Linked DNA regions of Caenorhabditis elegans. The protein of the gene in region 2 purifies or fractionates together with the protein of the main gene of each other region. This does not show direct contact. Each region holds a gene or a part of one and is shown on either strand. Other genes may lie near its edges. The genes, in order: tag-321 and D1053.3.

The links.
Region 1: the proteins of D1053.3 (region 2) and tag-321 fractionate together in Caenorhabditis elegans (co-fractionation; one large-scale study listed by BioGRID). This does not show direct contact.

The regions. Positions count from the first base shown.
Region 1 is NC_003282.8:7,781,834-7,785,728, reverse strand, and holds tag-321 (Transmembrane protein 65), read left to right. Parts: upstream 1-1,877; 5' UTR 1,878-1,903; coding exon 1,904-2,434; intron 2,435-2,445; exon of another isoform or gene 2,446-2,466; intron 2,467-2,779; coding exon 2,780-2,923; 3' UTR 2,924-3,130; downstream 3,131-3,895. Other genes in the region: tag-322 (uncharacterized protein), read left to right, coding at 175-331, 374-519, 694-816, 862-1,190, 1,239-1,363, 1,417-1,481, 1,556-1,657; sec-10 (Exocyst complex component 5), read left to right, coding at 3,230-3,418, 3,468-3,895.
Region 2 is NC_003284.9:11,729,074-11,735,953, forward strand, and holds D1053.3 (Ras family protein), read right to left. Parts: upstream 4,630-6,880; 5' UTR 4,618-4,629; coding exon 4,543-4,617; intron 4,191-4,542; coding exon 4,068-4,190; intron 3,174-4,067; coding exon 3,045-3,173; intron 2,375-3,044; coding exon 2,293-2,374; intron 2,240-2,292; coding exon 2,139-2,239; intron 1,473-2,138; coding exon 1,318-1,472; intron 923-1,317; coding exon 790-922; 3' UTR 513-789; downstream 1-512.

The DNA.
Region 1 (3,895 bases), on a different chromosome or scaffold from region 2:
TATCAGCAAAATCCGCTGTCAAATATTTCATAAGATGTCACCACTTCGTCAGTTTTCAGTGACTGGTGCCAGCCTTCCATTCGATTATTTAGTGTAAACTTATTTGTTGTTTACTCCATTGAACACATTTTCTCTAATACCCCTCTTGAGCCAAATCCCGACAATTTTTCAGGAATGTCAGATGGAATAACTCTCGATTTTGCCAATCAAATTATCCAATATTGTGCAGAAATTCGAGAATTGTACGAAATTGAAGAATACGTCCGACAGCCGAATGACCATAATTTACTAGAGTTTCTTTATGATCTCAGTACTTTTTTGCTTGAATTAGGTAAGGAATGAAGATAATACAATTAATTTATTTCGTTTTCAGAATGTCCTCATGAAGAACTGACATGCGGTGATATTAGAACACGTTTCCAATCTTCATCAGCAAAGAAGCTTCTTGAAAGTTTTCTTGATTCAGAAGTCAAAACTGCTCGTCTCATTACTAGACAAAGAATTGAATCGGGTGAAATTGTAAGTTTTCTTTTGAAATATTGCATTTAAGTTGCCAAAACACAACTGGAAATATCTCGGATTTATCATTAATCACATTTTCTCAAATTTTTGCTTTATATTTTCTATTTAACTTTGTTTTTTCTTGCTTTTTAGTCTCAAGTCCCTCCACTTCGACCTAAATAATTCATTAAGGTCTCCGAAAAACGTGATCTCGAACTGACTCCACTTATTGATTCTGCCCTTCGAACACTCAACTTCCCTAAACAAGCAGGAAATTCTAATGAATGGAAACTCTTGGAAACTTTGAGACAAAAGGTATTAATAATTCATTGAAGAAACCCTCTCAAATTCTATTTTCAGACAGATGGACGCGTTTCCCAAAGTCAAAGACATCCACTTTTCAAAGCGACTCTTGATGAAAATACACTTCCTGAAATTGAAAAACAGTGTGAATCGTTTTCTCGTGATTTTTACAATCGACTTCTACTTCTGAACAGTCGACTCAAGGTCACAGTTGAATCATTTTTATGGAATGATCGCCTCAAGATGCACAGAGAGAATATTCAATCAATTCTTTCTGCTCGTGTCGATGAAATTGGACGAGTTAAAGCGAACAGTGACGTAGCTCATCTTCTTTCTGCAAGTTCTTCATTGCTCTATATTCAAAAAGCGTCATCTATGGATAGAAGGTATTTTTATAAAAATGTATGGTAAAAACTATGAAATTGTATTTTCAGAGAACGAACAAAAAGCAAACAACATCCACTTTCAATTATGGATGCTCCAAAAGATCGTGGAGGACGCACAGAAGAAATGGTTGGAGTGAAACAAGAATCTTTCAGACAACAACAACATACTTTTGGTAAGTTTACTCATTGTTAATTGCGGAAAATTTCTTGAAATAACTATTTTCAGATAGGCAACATTCCCAAAATCGACAAAAAAGTACTTTCGACCGTCCAAAAACTCACGAGGAGCAGGTTTGTTGTGTTCAATCTTTTTCTAGCCATTGTGGCGTCATTAAAACATTGCTCTTATCAACTGTCATTTCTAGGTTCTCGAACAACACACTTCACGAGACAATAGTGGACAAAATTGGAGAGGAAGAGGTCGTGGAAGAGGCAGAGGACGAGGAGGCGGACGCGGATATCATTGAAATTTGATGTTTTGTCGTTTCTTATTCTTTTCAATTCATTCGGTGTTTTTTTCAAAATGGGCTCACAGTTCCTTTTTGTTTTAATTTATGAAAACTGTTTATAAATTGAATGTTTTTCTTTTTTTTGAAAATGGTTGTTTTCCAGTCAAATCCCTCTCACTCGTTATTAATTATGTATTATTCGTTAAATTTATTGGTCTTCTCATAAGTTAAATTACAGACCACGGCTTGCCGAAAGGCAAAAAAATGATCAGCTCGCCAGCTCGTCTGGCTTTTGCCATGATCGGCAGAGCGAGCTCTCGAACGCTTCTAACAAACCATTCTGTCACAAGTATCCGTCTATCGACTACAGCAGCTTTCAAACATCTTGATAAACTGATAATTGAAACTCCAAATGATGCTATGGAAATTGCAAGTCGTCTGACTATCATTGAACAACAGATGTTGAAATCGGCGTTAGACGATTGTTTGACAAAGAAAGAAGATGGGAAAGTAGAAGAACTTACTCAAGAGCAAGTAAAAGGAATATTTCTAGTCAATTCTATTCCTTTTATTGGATTCGGTGTTCTTGACAACATGATTATGATCCTAGCTGGCGAGTATATTGATCAAAAACTCGGGGCCGTTCTAGCTATATCAACTATGGCAGCCGCTGCACTCGGAAATCTTATCTCGGATATTGCTGGCGTTGGTCTCGCGCATTATGTAGAGGTTGCAGTGCAACGAGTTGGAATTAAACATCCTGTTTTGACATCTCAACAATTGGACAGTGGAAAGGTGAAAAAGGATCTATTGATTGTTTTTCAAAAAATGATAAAAAGTGTTAAAAATTTTATTCACACTGAACTTCTGCCCGAATAAATTCAGTCTGCAGCTGCTGCATGCAGCAGGGGTACAAATTGTGCCAATGTGGCATGTTTTCTCAATTTTTTTCAATAAAATTTAGTGATAGAATTTAGAAAAATATTTGTTTTATCTGATAATGAAGTTGAAAATTGCCGATAAATTTTTGAACGTTTTTTTACCAGAAATGTTCAACTACTGAACGAAAATGAGAAAAATAATCGTCTTTTTTCACACTCTAGAATTTTTAACTCTTTAAATTTAAAAAAATGATTTCAGGCCAGGTTCACAACGAATGCTGCAAGAGCAGCTGGTTTAACAGTCGGATGCTTACTCGGAATGTTTCCATTACTTTTCTTCAGCGACGACGAAGACGATGAAAAAAAGAAGAAAAAAGAATTGAAAGCAACTAAGCTTGAATAGAATTAGAATTTCTCATTGTAAATATTTAACTTTTGTTCAAAATACCTAAATGTTTCTGTATATTGCATAATCTTGTCCCTCTGCCAATACTAGTCAATCATTTCTATTTCCCTGTATGCCATTTGCATTTAAAAATTCCCTGTTATTTGCTCAAACTTCAATGTGCTTTACTCTATTTTATTCTTTAGTATAAAACTATCAGAACTGATAAGGTTTGAATAGATTATTTAATTGGTTCTTTATAGCCGTCGTGTATATTTTATATTCAAAAGTGGTTTTTCATGCTTTAGGAACAAATAATTACAGATGAGTGGTGGACAATATGTGACATATGTACAGGATCTAGAACAGGAACCGTTCGACGCAATTGATCTTGTTGAAAAACTGGCATGGAGAATGACCGGAAGTGCTCAGACTATAAACGATCCGGTTTCTTTGAAAATGCGATTCGAGGAAGAAATTGGCAGTTTACAGATGCTTTGTGATCAGTTTCAGGTTATTTTTCAATTTTCTGTTCGCATTAAAAAAAAGTGGAAATTTTTAGAACAAAATCAATACTCTTGAAAAGCAAATGAACGAGGAAAAGAAGGATTATGTACAAAAACTTCACCGTCTTCACGAGAAAAATGGAGAAGCAATTGATAAAATGAAACAATTAGATCATACAATGCAAGCAGTCTCTACAAAAGTTGTTCATCTTGGTGATCAACTTGAATCCGTCGATCAACCACGTTCACGAGCTCATGATGCTCATCAATTGATGCAACATTTCGATGAATTCCTCTCAGATCAACCTCTCAATTCCATGATTTTCACTGATCCTGATAAGCTTCTCGAATCTGCCGATCTGGTGCATAAGCTTTATTCAATTTCTCAGGAACTCAATAAGGACAAATTTGCAAATGTTCAAGCTAGAATTGGACAAAGATATAAAGTTGTCGAAGACTTGCTAATCGAAGAATTCGTCAGATC
Region 2 (6,880 bases):
AATCCCTCGTCGTTGTGATCCTAAAATCCGTCATCGATTTGTCCATTGAGTATTCTCAAAAAAGTTCCCATCAACGACATTTCTATTTCTGACCTGAATCAGTCGAAACGCAAGAGAGGTAAAGATCAGTCGACTAGGGATTGGGATGAAGCTGGTTCTAAAAACTGGTCTTTTGATAATCTGTCATTTTTCAGTGATCAATCCTATGTCATCCGTCTGGCTGCTTCAACAATGTCTACGCTGTAACTTCACAGTATACAACAAACTCTTGAAAAAAGTATGTTCCATTAGGTTATTCATTAGTTGGTATTGAGCTTTTCTTCTAATTGGACTGTAAAGTAATATGCAAAAAGTGATTAATGGATTTTTTTAGTCTTGTAAAATATTAATACAGTGAACTACCGCGCAAAATTTTACACATTTCAAGCATCGAAATGCTATTTTCAAATTGTTTTTGAATCCCTCTTTTAGTTAAGATTTCATCCAAAAATGTAATAGTGGAGAAAATGTTTATTTACAAATTATTTATTCCAATCTCAAAAATTAATAAAACACAAATACACAAACTACTGTTATAAAATCCAATTATCATCAATATCACAAGTTCACTGGAAACATACATTTCAAAATTACCGGGAGGTTCGGGGAGCTGACTAGAACTGAAAAGTTCACCAAGAAAAGAAACATTAAAATTTAAGTACAGTTGTGTTTCAGTAATTTTTCCATAATACGAAACAATGCATTATCTATTCCCATTTGAGATCAAACGACATTCCATATTTCCTCACATTACATTATGATGCACACTTTTGAATCTTCAACTTTCTCTCCTTTTTCTTTTTTACCATTTTTCTTTTTCTCATTCACTGCCTCGAATATCATATTCTCTCCCGATTTGTCGGATGATTTCGATCGTAGAATGCTGCAAAAAAAAATGAATTTTGGTGTTTACCAGCTTGTTCGCAGAAGTGAACAATATTTTTTGTTAAGTTTTCGTGACCATCTTCAAGTACTTGTTTGTTCTTAATTGTAAACTTGTTCAGTAAAAATTAAGAAATTCCAGGGGCCTTTAATATCAATTAAGTTAGAACAAAACATCAAGTAGCTCCGTTAATATTGATATTAGTATTATTTATGAATATAAAGGCAAACTTTCTGCCTATTTTTGAGAATATTTTGGCATATATTGAAAGTTTCTTACAATATTTTCTTGTTTAGAAAACTAAATTTTGACTTCCTGGCAAAAACTTTGAGCAGCTTTAAAAAATGTTTGCAAAAATTTCTCGGATAAGTTTGAGAGTTATTTAAAATACTTGCCTTGCAATTTTAGACATTCTCCGATTTCGCGTGGGACCAGATTTGTTGATGGACATAATCATTTGTGTTAATACTTTCTTTGCATCTGAAGAGCTACTGGAACTTATTTGCATAAATGAACACCGACTTCCAAGTTCCTGCGCCAGTTGTTCGCCCTGAAATTGAATATCAGCAGTTATAATAAACAATAAGTGCATTTATCTTGTCCTAGGGCATTGGACATTTTAACATAAGACTGCTCGCGACTATAAAATTTGATTGGATTTTTCACAAGTTTCTATTATAGGAAAAAATTTGATATCAAACTTTAAAAGCATATATTTTTTGCGGTGCTTCAAGTTTAGAGTAATCACGAGCGGTGAATAACCGCGATACGAGTCCACATAAATATGACCCACCCTATAAATTTCAATTTTCAGTTGGAATTTTTTTTGTTCATTAAATTCATATTTTTAAAAATACTGTATGCTTTTCTCTATCATAGCTCCAGAGACTATAATCACTTTATTGTGGCAAGTGCCAACAAAACAATTAAATATATATTTTGTTCCATGTGTGACTATTACGTATCTTCAACTAACTCAAAATAAAATATTTAAAAATATACTCGCATTTTCTATCGGTGTGTTTTAACTGCAACTCGGAAGTTTTTCAAAAATAAGATTACTATTACACACAATACATATTCATGCAGAATATGTGTGGCTATTATAATAATTAATCAGCAATTAGGCGTCACGTTTTTAACAGAAGGATATACATGTAGTACTGCTTGTTTTATTCTCAGTTTGACAGCCTTACGTTAAAAATGCCCTACTCACCTGATCTGCAACTGAAGTAGATATGTTATCATCCAATCCCTTACGAATTTGTTCCATTGAATAGTGTCTTTTCATACCATCTCGGTCATCTGACTCATACCCTGAAATTGTGTGAAATGATGTGGAACATCTTTCCTCCGTGACTCATTTTTACCTTCCGACGTGGAACTTGTATGTGCTGATGCAGTTTCTTCTGGTATCACTTCGTCTGAATCACATACAAGAAGAATGTGAAGCTGAAATATGTTTTGTTTCATTTATGGACTGTTTGGTTTTTTGTCTCATTTTTTGCTGATATTACCCATTTCCATATTGGGTTACCAATTTCCAATAGTTTCATGTTTCCCGATTCTAGGTAAATATCATCTTACATCTACAGAATACTCCGAATAAAGTGTTTCAACATCTCATGTTTACATTTCCTTTTTTCCAAGTCACATTCTTCAAAGTTCCAGACTACCAATAGTCCGACATCAGCTGTTGGACACAAAAATATAATAGGAGATGAAAGAGAAAAATCATTTTTCTCAAGCATCGGCTGTATCTATTTGCACAAAGAGCAACCCGTTCAAACTCGCAAACTTTCGGCGTCTTGGTAGGCAAATAACAAGAGTGGCACAGAGGTTTTTTACAGCTCTCTCTGTTACTATTCTTGTGGCACTACGCATTTTTTTCACAGCTGTCACCATCGGTCTTGCAGAGCATTTCGTTTAACCAATTCGATTTTCGTACTACCCTGGGAAACGGAAATCTATTTTTTGTCTAGCAACAGCAAAATCATGCGCACGTTGTGCTTCTATGAGAAAATAACTGGGGGAGAAATCATACACCTAATCCGTTTCATTTCCGCTGCCATTCGATAGGCTGAAGCCCCTGGATTGTCAATCAAAAAATAAATTGTCTCACGTTTTTTCGATTTTGGAGAGGTTGGACAAGTGACTGAAGAGCTTGAAGAGAATCAATGTTTAGTGCAGAATAGTATAGAATCGCATAATCAGCTGCTGTCAGAGCCATTTCCCGATTTCCTGTGCGAGCCTGAAACAATTTGTGGAATCAAAAGTGCAACTTTGATATTGGAACAAAACTATGAAAATGTGAAAGTTGTAGTTTAATTAATATAATCACAAGTTTGTATTATTCGTCGTGCCCAGACAAAAACTTATTAAGATCAAAAGATCTAAAGGGAGCAAACTCTATACTAAAAATCTATTACATTTGTTTAAATTTTTGATGGGATCCAGATCAGCTTTTAAAATTTCAAACAGCAAAACATAACTAGAAAAACAAGTTTGAAAGTGATTCAAACCATTTGCAAATTATGGGATTAAAAATTACCTACTTAGAGTATGTTGTTACAGTTTTACTCAGGTTTAAGCACAATTTGGAGTTCACTCACAACTGAAAAACTGGTTAAATTAGAGAATTGCAAGAATACTAACTGTGATCTTAAAATTTATCTAAATTTCCGGTTTATAAAAACTTTATGCTTTGCTTTTTTGTATTTGAGGATTTGAATATTAATAAATTATGATATGGAGCCTTTTTTTATGATCATCTTTTTTTTTAAGTTTCTGACTAATCCTGATCACTTTGGTGTAGTTCTAACGACTTCTTTGATCTAACCCAAATTCCAACAAAACCAACTTTTTTGTCTTGTTCCCACTTGACTGTACTCTTGTGTGAATTTCGCTACTGATCATTCATTAGCAGAGCCGTTAACCGGTAAATGTTCCTTGTCTTTGCGGTGGCACAAGTGTTTCTCACATTACCCTCGCGCCCTACTTTTCCAATTTTTTTGTATACCATGAGACAACCGGCTGACTGCTCCGACCCATCAAATAAACACGTGTTGTGAAAACCCAATTTTCTTCCGACAATAAAAGAAAACGGTAGCTGAATAACAGAAAACAACAGGAAAAGATCACTAACCAATCCTGGATCGGTGATTTCCACCACATGCTCTGTTCCCATGTGATCGATGGTAAGGTAGTGAACATCTGGATAATGGACATGTTTTTCATAATTGGATGCTGCATCACAGAGTTGTTTGAACTGAAAATACAATATTCAAACTACTGAAAAATACAAAAAAACTCGGAAAACTGTGTATGGGGGAAGTAGTGATTTGCATCAATTGAACTTTGTGACCACACACGATCAATGAACAGTTTGACAGTTTCAGACAAAAAAACATTATTTTCTCTTAACAATTTTAAATTCAAAAACTTTGTTAACAATTGAAATAGTCGATTCTGACTTACTCACGTTTAAGACTTTTTGAACTACGATGTTCCAAATTAAACAAAAACAACGCAAACGTAATATCAGTAAAAAATTTGATGCATGTTCAAGTTGTCATAACTTTAGTGTGAAAAATAAGTATTGATAAAATATTCCAACTTACAAATAAAGCTTTGTGTCCTGATCCAAGAATCACAGCCTTCCGTTCGTTTCTTGTTTCTTCTTTCTGATTAGTCATATCGGTCTGAAATAGTTGGACTTTTTTTCTGAGAAAGCTCTCCTTAAAGCGAAAATTTTAAAAACAGAACTTAGAAACAAGAGTGAATGAAAATTTCGATGGACTTTGTGAATCTCCGAGGGCAACCACGATGACAAAAAATTCCTCTCTTTGCCGAGAGGGTCGCCAGGAAGACGCATCAAAAAGAGAGAGGAACAGAGATCTAGCCCCGCCCATTTTTCGCGTAGTCTCGTTTTTTTCTCATTTTTGCACGAGTTTAGGGTTTCATTTAGCTCCTTATGTTAGGATTGTACATTTTAAAAATGATATCAACTTTAAAAATCGGGATAGATATTTGATCGGTTGCAAAAAATGAATCACGTTGTGGGGATGATCTGTGGGTTAGGTTAGAGTGTGAATTCGCCACACAAAAGTTCTGATTACAAAAAACTAGTTTCTCTTGGTCATTGTTCATATTTTAGATTACCGTTGTTAGCCATACAGTTTAAATATAATCATAATTTTCTGATGTTTTCATAACAAAGTTTTTTATTCAAAAAGCTGCACACCTTTAATGAACAAATAGTTCTTTGAACTCAGCACAATTACAGTTTAGTGATAAAAATCATAGAGAATTGATAAGAATACTATTGAATATTGGTGACGTTTCGAAAGTTCTGCAATTGCTCGTAAATGGAATGGGAATTCTTGTGAAATCATCACTAACAGATTGCAATCCGAAAAAATTAGTTGCATCACTATTATATTCGAAATGCAAAAAATCAGAACTTCTGGTGATGGATCAGCAAATTTGAAAATCAAATTTAATATCTAACGATGAAAGTTGGAAGAGATCGTAGGAGAAAAATTGAATATTTAAACATACGTTCATGTTTAGTTTAAATGTGATACAGTACAACTGAATAAAACAATTGGGGGTTTATAATTTTTTTTGAAAATTAAAAAATTAACTGGAATTCAATTTCTAACGATGTTTTTGTGTAGCTTCTTATGCCAACATTTTCTCAGTAACGGAACAGATCGTAGTTTAATATTCAAGAGCAAGGAGAAAAATTGTTAAATGAGCGTATAGGTTTTGAATCCTAAAAGTGTCACATTTGTGGCAACTTTCGAAAGAGAACAAAATTCGACACAAAAGAAAGAATGACAAAAGACAATGAATTTCGACTTTATCTGTTTTTATCAAAGTTGAATGTAATTTGATTAATAAGTTGTTAAAATGAACTAAAATTTCATACAAAAAAACCGAACTCTTATTTTTTCAAAATTGTTTCAACGTTTTAATTGAATTCTGATATCATTTTATTCGAATTGCTATATAAACTGAAGAAACCAATGGTTCTTTCTTCTGCTTACTACTTCTAGCGTTCAAACTGCAACAAAAATATGTTTTGCTGGGGAAAAACATAATCCGATCAACGAATGCAATGTATTTTTCATGAATAAGATCAGCGAACCCGAACCGATTGAAAATAAATCATTGGAAAATAAAAAACGCGTGGGAGAATGTGGACTGAAGATAAATAAGTAAACAAAAACATCTACCGCAGAACGACATTTTTCGAATTTTTTTGCTCCAAAAGATGGGAAAATGAAACGTTTTGAATTTTCAAGAATGGAAAAATGAGATTCATCAAAAGATACTATTTAAAACGGGCTACATACTTCCAAATATTTTCCAGATGTTTTAAATTGTGTGTTTTTACTGTGGTTTCTATTGATAAAATATCAATAAAATTCGAATAGTCTGCACAATGTGTTATGACTGTGTAGATCAAATACAAAAGTCACAAAGCACGCTGTGGAAAGTCAAAAAACTGTAGGTCACAACGTTTGTTGACCCAAGTGAAGTGAAAGTGAGGAGAAGGGTTTTAACTTTGTTATCCGACAACTAAAAGGAAGTACAGGAAGGAAAATGTCTGACCAAACAAAAAATTCGAAACTTTGATTATCTTCAATTATTAAAAACAAACAGTGCATTGGTGGAAATGAGCAACTTTTAAACTGTATAAATTTGTTGGTTTTATCATAATACATTTGAGATTTTTGAAGAGTCTGAATAGAATTTTTGGTAAGTGGCCAAATTAAAAGAATTGGGATTTTTGAGAAATTTAAAGCAAAGTCGCATGTTGAAATCCGAAAATCTTTAAATATAAACATTCGGAACAAACTGAAAACATAAAATTCATAGAAAACTTTTTTCTCGAATTCCAAAAGTATGAGTGGCCAAATCTGAGCATTTTACACTTTTTTGACTAGAACA